Linked DNA regions of Arabidopsis thaliana. The protein of the gene in region 2 interacts with the protein of the main gene of each other region in a pairwise test. Each region holds a gene or a part of one and is shown on either strand. Other genes may lie near its edges.

Evidence for each region. Proteins that work in one complex are often made in the same cells at the same time.
Region 1: the proteins of AT1G21200 (region 2) and WRKY7 interact in a two-hybrid assay, tested with the Arabidopsis thaliana proteins (one large-scale study listed by BioGRID).

What each region holds. Positions count from the first base shown.
Region 1 is NC_003075.7:12,569,820-12,574,277, reverse strand, and holds WRKY7 (WRKY DNA-binding protein 7), read right to left. Parts: upstream 2,741-4,458; 5' UTR 2,349-2,740; coding exon 1,573-2,348; intron 1,471-1,572; coding exon 1,345-1,470; coding exon of another isoform or gene 1,341-1,344; exon of another isoform or gene 992-1,340; coding exon 832-991; 3' UTR 505-831; downstream 1-504. UniProt on the Arabidopsis thaliana protein: Transcription factor. Interacts specifically with the W box (5'-(T)TGAC[CT]-3'), a frequently occurring elicitor-responsive cis-acting element.
Region 2 is NC_003070.9:7,419,563-7,424,189, reverse strand, and holds AT1G21200 (sequence-specific DNA binding transcription factor), read right to left. Parts: upstream 3,043-4,627; 5' UTR 2,918-3,042; intron 2,727-2,917; 5' UTR 2,708-2,726; coding exon 1,376-2,707; 3' UTR 1,187-1,375; exon of another isoform or gene 794-1,186; intron 673-793; exon of another isoform or gene 579-672; intron 552-578; 3' UTR 517-551; downstream 1-516. Other genes in the region: LSM3A (Small nuclear ribonucleoprotein family protein), read left to right, coding at 3,334-3,450, 3,703-3,798, 4,121-4,201.

The DNA of each region.
Region 1 (4,458 bases), on a different chromosome or scaffold from region 2:
AATACAATTAAACAAATTTTAACTAATTAGATAACATACTCTAAAATATGATTGGTCTAAAAAATTTTAAAACATCTTTTTAAAAAAAGTCTCTAAAACATCACTTAAAAGTGATATTGAAGAGTTATAACGCAATGATGCATGAATAGCTGATTTTCTTGGTAACAAAATTTTGTAGTAAAGCTTTAAATTTTTTACTAAATGTTGAAGTACTTTACACTTGAATTTATAGCCGTTAACATAATCATAAACATTGTCAACTTTGTTGGAAAAAACACACTTAAAAGGATAACGACATTGCATCTGAGGTTTTTCACTAATGCTGAAATAAATACTTATTAGAGCTACTTATTATTTGATCGACAACTTTTCTAGTTTCTATAAACGTGTGTTAAGTTGATTTGACTATGTAATCTACAAATAGTTCTTTTTTTTTTTGTTTAACGAAATTTGAATTGCAATTTTTTCCAATTACCAGCATAGCATTATGGTCAGTTGAATCTAAATTAACTGATAATTTCCCTAAAAACTCAAATAGTTCTGCAAGTAAGAAAAGAATCAGAGATTTGACAAAAATAGTGCACTAAATATATATTATCCTAGAAATAAATAAACAGAAAAGGACATTCACATGATTCAACTTCCATCAAGATCCACAACGTTCCTCTCTCGTCTTTATCTCCCCTCCCTCTATTTCCTCCAATCAAAAAGAAAGATAAAGCAAAAGCTTTTCAAAAAGAAAAGAATAAAAAAGTGCAGTGCGGGCCCACTCTGTCGTTGACTAATCTGGATAGTGGTCACACACAGACAGTTCCCCTCAAACTCGAGAAACTAAAGAGTTTTGTCATGATTCATCGTCGTCGTCTCGAGAACCAAAGCATGGTTGTGGTCTCCTTCGTACGTCACGATTAGCATCATCGCATCATCTAGTGCACGCTCCACATGCTTACGCGCCGGACAACCTCTTACACTGCTGCACTTGTAATATCCCCTGTCATAACCATTACACCGAGTCCTCCCCAGTTAGTTCGAGTTCTTATTAATTAATGAGAAAAGAAATAGTCAACTTAACTCTCGGCTTTCTATTTCAAATTTATTCTATAGGAAACAACAAGTCAAAAAGAGCGTGAAACTGAACCCACTACTGTACTACTAGACAACATGTTTGGTACAACCGATATAGAAAAAAACAATATTGACAATCTCTCTGGTACTAATATTGACAATACACAAGTTGCTTAATTTTCTAGCCAATATTTGATTTTTGGTGTTGAATCTAGTGAGTGATTGTGATGTATGTGTAGAGTATATATATCGATGGTAAAAAATGTAAAAAATAATTACCGAGGATGAGGAGAGCCTTTGATTGGTTTTTGACCATATTTTCTCCATGAAAACTCATCTGATGGTATATCAGCCATTTTGCTACTTACTGCTGGAACTCTAATCACTCTTTTTACTCTTGATTTCCTGATTTTTTTACACAAATTATAATTAACGTTTTATTAATCAAATCTCAAGATTTAGATCTAAAATAAGATTAATTTTTAATAATAGAAGTTGAATCAAAACCTTTTCTTGGAGCAATGGCAACGGCTTGAGGGAGATGAATTACATCTTCTCTTCAACGAAGCTGATGATAAAGGAGGTTTACCTCTCGAACCAGAGAGCTGAGATGGGTTAGTGAACTCGAATCCTGATGACATGTGAGTACTATCGGTGTCACATCTATGAGAAGACATGAATGAGTTCGTCGCTGAGACTGGTGGTGACGGCGCAAAGTTTATCGTTGACGGTGCTCCGTTTGCGAGCATCGGAGGAGATGAAGAAGACGAACCGTTCTTTGTTTGATTCTGATTGTTGTTGTTATTGTGTGATAGAGGAGGACGACGATGAATTGGTGTTGGACAATAAACTCTAAACGCAGATCCACCACCGTGATATTGCTCTGTTTTCTGTTTTGTTAACACGGAGCTTGTTTCTGGCTTCTTCTCCTCCACCTCCACCTCCTCCTCAACCACCGGCGTTTGCTTAAACGGCGTTTGCGTTGACGCGGGAGCTCGTCTGAATCTAGCGTGTCCGGTTCTAGATCTACCGAGTAGAGAAATGACCTTCTTGAAGCTGTTAACGGCGACGTCAGTCACCGCGGTTATCTCCGTCTGACTCTTCTCCGTTGGTTGTTGACTTTGACCGATCAGTTTAAGAAACTCCTCCACACCGTGAATCCCTGCAGAAGCAGCTTCTCTCAAAGCGGTATCTTCCATTTTCGCCGCCGCGGCGATTGCAGGAAAACCATCACCTCCTCCTCCGCCGCCGCTGTAGCTGCTCATCATCAGCTCAACAGTCATCTCATCAAATCAGAGACCAACCACTCAGATTCTTATTAAAGGTCAAAGGAGATGTAAATAAATACAAAGATTCAACAGTTTTCTTGTAAGTTGTGTTTTTGGTTAAAGAAGAAGATGATGATGATGATGAGGGGAAGAATAAATGAAGAGAGTGAAAAAGGGGGAGAGTCAACGATATGCGTTTCTCTCTCTATATCTTTAGGTATGTGTTGATAGTGCATCAGTCAAATCGACCACCACTCATAGGCTTACACGTGTGATCATTTGTCAAGCGTTTTGACACTCCTCAGCGTCAATGATTTTAAATTTGGAGCAAGTGGAGCTCGAATTATATATATATTCGTTATTATTATTCGAGAAAAATCTAAGATATTTTATATTTTTGAGGCTGATTAGATGCTAAAAATATAAAAATTAAATTTTTAATTAAAGAAAGATCTAAAAGGAGGAAGGTCTCTCTCTTCTCTCTATAGTATTTTTCAGAGAAAGATTTTTCCGATGTAAGTTTAGAATCGCCGTCCGGGTTTCTTCCGGTTTCCGTTATCTGGATTTTTTCCGGCTATTATCTCCCGTTGATCGGGATTTAGATTTCTTTTTGGGCAATTTTGAATTCGGTTTCTTCGGATTTGTTTTTGTTTTGTAGCTTTAAAATCTTGATGATGAAACATTATGACAGGCAGAATCTTCAGTTCCGAAGAGGTGTTCTCTTCGCATGATTTAGTTTCTTTCTGCTTTGATTGGCTTCACCGTTGGGTTCTGTTTTTTTTGGCTCCAACAGTTTTCCGGCGATGTGTGCGTTCTCGACAATTAGGTTCGTTTGGATCTACTGTGTTTAAGACAGTTTCAATTTCTCCACGACTAAGGTTAGGTCAAAGCTCGTTTCCTATGCAATTAAGATATGCCTTTGTTGTTCTTGCAAGAGATTTAATTGTTAGACAAGTTTGAACTACTCAGTTTTCTCTAATTTCTTTTACCCATTTTTGCCGAATCCTTTGTGATTCTTGCAATCGGATGAGATTAGGAGATTGATGTTTGTTCTGTAACTTTTAATTGGTGATAAAAAAGAAGTCTCGTTGACCGGTGATTTTCCAACGACGTTTCTGATTCACCAGGCTTGAGTCTCATGTGCAGTGGAGGTTAGGCCTGGGCACGAAGCGAATATCCGGAAAATTTGGGATATTTGTTATTCGATTCGTTTTAATCGAATACTTAATTTTATTATTTGCTTTGATCCGAAAATTTCCAAATATCCGAAAATACGAATATCCGGATTTTTGTATGATATTTGTCGGATATCCGCTTTGCTTTGCTACATCCAAATATTTTTTTATATAAATTATTTAACATAGATTTCAAATTTCTTACCTTATGACTTACGAGTGTGAGATTGAGAGCAACTGAAAATTTTCTGGTTATAAATTCTGTAACCAAATTGAGTGATAAAAATAGTGAAAGGTCGAAGAAAGGAAACAGAAATGTCGCTCTTATATTTGATGGATTGGAAAGTAAAACGACAATTTTAGGATAAAATATAAAAAATAAAACAATTTTATTTTAAAAAATTCCACTTCTCTAATAAAAACTGTGTCACAAAAAAAACACAGGCCCAAAGGATACAAATACAAGCCCAAATCCCAACATATACAAATGCACAACCTATATTGTGATATATATATATATATATATATATAGATCGAAGCGAATATCCGACTTTAGAAAAAATAGTATTTGTTATTTGCTTCGGTTTTTACGATTACTACATTTTTCTATTTGCTTTGCTCCAAAATCTTACGAATATTCGGATTTTTCGAATCAAATCAAATCGAATATTGAGTTAAAGCGGATCGAACGAATATTTTGTCCAGGACTAGTGAAGGTTGTGGACGTTCCACGTGTCCCTAGCTTATTATTATTGGTCTGACACGTCTATAGCTTATCTCTTCTTTTGTGTCGTATGAGCCTTTATATGTGGGATGTCTTGGGCTTTATTTTGGTTTTCTCATAACCAAGCATTGTACTGGTAATGATAAAATGAATAAAATATTACACTTATGAGAAAAAAAAAAAAAAAAAGATGCTAAAAATATTACATATTTATGCAGAATATAGA
Region 2 (4,627 bases):
AGTTAAACTTAAACCACCTCTGGAAGAGACTTGATTACTAACCATAACACGCTCTGTTTTATTTTGAGGTTTACTTTAGTTTGCAAGTCAGTTTGGTGTGGGAGCCGCTCAAAGAGATAGTGAAAGCTTGAAATGCAGAGAGTGGATACAGAATTCCTACCTTGGCAGGGTCAGACTTATCCAGCTAAGCTGGATTTGTGGTTGGTTCGCTACAAACAGGTGTAAGTTGTTGACCAATGCAATTGTTACACGTCTCCAGCACTGCAGCTGCTCATGACTTGATATGCTATCAGCGTGAATGGGGATCACATACTCGGTGTAAAGAGTTCTTCTTCTGGTGCATTTTTGCGTATTGAAGCAACAAAGCATAAACACCAAGGCAGATACTAGAGTTCCTTCCCTTGTGGTTCCGGCTCCAACCTCAGGAAATGAAAATTTTCATGCTACGCCTTGATTGACTTCTTATATTCTCCATGCTAGGAAATTAAAATTTTCAAGGTTTTAATTGCACAGGTGTATGAAGCAGCGAGTCAAAGACGTTTACACATAACCTGCAGACCAAAAAATATGAGTTTGTTTCAAATTTAGAGTTTTCTGGATACTTAAAAGTTAATATCGAAGAAGCCCTCTCTTTGTTAGTAACTAATAAGTATCCAGAAAACTCTAATTTGAAAAAAACAGAAAGGAAAGAAGCTTCTCATCACTAACCAGCCAAAAAATGAAACACAAAAACTGAAAAGAAGCGCAAGCATGAGATGGACCTAAAGCAGGCAAACATAACATGCTTTTTAGTCAGAAACATCTTTACATTTATGTTGAAAGAGACAAAAGAAGAACATGTGACTGCAAACTGAAAGAAACCTTTAGAATATAGCTTCAAGATTCTTCAGGAAAACTCAATATCGTCAAACTGATTCATTTTCCACTAAAGGAGATGTGATGTGATCCAAAGTATAAACTGCTAAAGGTTATCTGGATCCACGTCCAATAGAAAATATGTATTAAGGTTCCATGTCGAAAAGTATTCAATCTTCTTAGAAGCAAATAGTTAGCAACAACTCATTCTCAAACTGGCTTAACAATGAGATATTTGTTACACATTGGATTAAGATGTCGAAAACAATACAGCAGAACAATGAAAATAACCTTAACCAGTTGAGTACTGAGAAGTAGAGTTAAAACAAACCTTAGAGAGCTGCTTATATTAACCACTCCTTTCTCACTACATTCACAAACTTCATCACTGATGCAACCACAAAGATCTCTCACATCAAAGTCTCGAGATCATTCCAATCAAAGCAAGCTTACAAAAGCAGAAAATGAGACTTCATTTAGCAAAGCTATATACCAATCAAGAGAAGTGAAGCCAATTCCGTTATAATTCAACACCCAATTCCCTTTGTTTCAACTCCAATCCCATCCGATCATTCTCAAGTTTCATCCTTTCATTCTCCATTCTCATTCTCTCGAGTTCTTGATCCCTTTTCTTGCTAAACCTCTGCCACCTGAATCTCTGTTTCTCCAATTCCAGCAATTCAACTTGGATCTGAAGCTTCTGCTCTTCTAGCTGGAGAGTCCGCGACTCCATCCACTGCTTCTGCACCGAACCTGCTCTTCCACTCTCCGCCCCACCTTGATTCACATCAGCTTGAGAAAACGGTATTTGAGGTAAAGAGACTTTATTACACTCCAGAGAATTCACATGACTCGGATGATCTCCATCTTCATGGCTAAGGCTTGGTCTTATCTTCTTCAAAGGACCACCACCACCTCCATAATGATTTACCCTACAATCTCCATACGCATAATGTTGCTCCTCATACTCATCATGTTCATCACCATCACCATCATGATCCTCATCATCAAGATCCTCCATTTGATGTTTCCTAGAATCATCATTATCATGATCATCTCTGCTTCTAAGCGCCAACTGTAACGAACGCTGCAAAGCAAGGTCATGAGGCAAATGCAACCTATTCCCATTATGATACGAACACATCTCTTCATAAAAAAGATGTTTAGAACTCATAATCTTCCTAACATCATCCTTCTCTTTATCATTCAAGTAACCAATCGAATCCAAAAGCGCAGGATTCTCAACAACTTGACAAGATGTTCCTCTACCAAGCATATCATTAAGCTTCTTATACCGTTTATTCAAATCATTGAACTTATCCTCACATTGCTGCGGCGAAACATGATAACCTCTCTCAGCCATAACTTTAGAAACAGATTTCCACTTCCCTTTCTTCTGCAAAACAGCAAACTTTCTTCTACTACTACTATCTATACTCGAATCATCTCCTATATAAGAAACAGCAGTAATCAACAACTTCACCATCTTATCAGTCCATTTCACTCGTTGCCATGGAGATCCTTTAGTTGATCTATTAGCTTCATTATGAACACCATCACCACCTTCCTCTGTGAAACTTGGTTCATCATCATCACTCACTGAATTCTTCTCTCTTTCAGCTTTCTGTTGCTCAGACATAGACATGTTCTGATTCTGATGATGATCACAGGTTTGACCTGTAACCATAGTAAAGGGAAGACCTTCATGAAGTGGTCTAGAATTAGGATTGTGTCGATGCTGCTGATTCATGGAGTCTTGGTGATGAACTCTCATAGAACCTTGTAAATCAAATCCTCCATAAGATGAAGCTCCACTACGAACTACACCTCCTTGTGGAAAATTCCCATCCATTTTTGGATCAAATTTCTTCCTAATTCATCAGAGAAATCGAAGAGAAAACAGATCTCAAAAAGTCAAAACCTTTGTCAACAAAATTAGTACTGGATCTTAGGGGAATATTAAAGATCGAAACTTTAGGAGAGAATGAAGCAGAGAGGAATCGGGATGAAGAAAATAAAGCGGTAAATATATGAGAGATGAGTCAAAGGAAGTAAAACTCACAGAAAAAAGTTTGCTTTCGTCTTCTCCGGTCAGCTTCCTCAGGTTTCTCTTCTCTCTCTGTATATGACAAAAGGCTTTTTGATTAAAACAACCAATATAAAGATTATAGTAAATTTAGTGTAATGAAATGACCAATTGATACCTTGTGATTGGACTTAATATAGTTAAGTTCCACTAACCATGATTTATTTGCATTAGATGATTTATTATCTTCATAATACTTCGACGAAAAAAAAAAAAAGAGCTAACCATATTGGGCCGATATGAGAGCCCAAAAACATAGTAAAAGGCCGAATCGTAAGATGTTGGTTTGAAGTTTTTAGGGAACCAACGGTGGCGATTGCTTGAGCTCAGTCAGAGAGATATCGCCGAGAGCACTACAATTTCAAAACCCTCGGAGAAGTTATAATCAGAAAATGTCAGTCGAGGAAGACGCCACCGTTAGAGAGCCACTCGATCTGATTCGGTTGAGTATCGAAGAGAGGATCTATGTCAAGCTCCGATCTGACCGTGAACTCCGCGGCAAGCTTCACGTACGTTCTTAACCACTCGGATTCCAGAAACCAGTAACCAGATGTGATCTTTTTCGATTTTGAGCTCCTTTTTGAATTCCTTATTCGTTGAATTTAACACTAGTTTTTATTCTTTTCACAAATATCAAAATTTGGACCCATTTTGTTGAGTTTCAGTTTCGAAAGCCTCAGCGAGAGCTAATTGGCGTAGAAAACCTCATAATCTTGTTAAATTCTAAGACTCTCACTTTTGTTGTTGTTTTTGTGGTGTAGGCTTTTGATCAGCATTTGAATATGATTCTGGGTGATGTTGAAGAGGTTATTACGACTATAGAAATCGACGACGAGACATATGAAGAGATTGTTCGGGTATGTAATTCTCTTAGCTCAATAAGATTTATTAATCTATGTAGGCTTTAGTAGTAAGATAAACGTTTTTGGGTTCAAAATATTTCAGCTATCACAGTATCTATTGTCTATGTCTCTGTTTGAGTTTAAAGGAGAGCTTGATTCATGTAGAAGTTAATAGTGCTGGTTACATAGAGAGTGTTCATTACCAATATAGTAACTCTGTTTAGTTTCTCAAACTTGAATTTTGTTGTTTGCGCTCCAAATGTGATGTGCTAACTTCTCATTAGACTAGTGTAGAATCATATGTTCTTCTCCTGCTGATGTAACTTGCTTCTGTCAGACAACGAAGCGAACGGTACCGTTTCTATTCGTGAGAGGAGATGGAGTGATATTGGTGTCACCGCCTTTGAGGACGACCTAAATGTTCTTGTGTACTGGGATCGGAGTTAACAAATCTGGCGCTGAGTAAAAGCACTTTTTTCTGATTACTTGGCTTTTGAATTTGTAATTGTGTGGTATGTTTTTCTTTGTTGTCAAACATTGAAACCGAATGTAGCATTCGAATCTTGGTAATGGGTGCCTCGTTATAGTAGAATCAGTGTAACATACTTCGTATTGTGACTTTCTTACCGTTTACGATCGGATTTAGTTTCGTTTTCTGGTTTGGTGTAGTTTTCTCTAAAGATTTGTATACTTCCTCAAACTCATTGATTTCGAGCTCTATTATGAATAGTGATTGGTGACATATTTAGATGTGTGTAACCCTAGGAAAGACATTTTGATTAACCAAACCATCAAATTGATTCACAGTACAGGAGGCTGAAAACGCAAACAAGATTGATTTCAT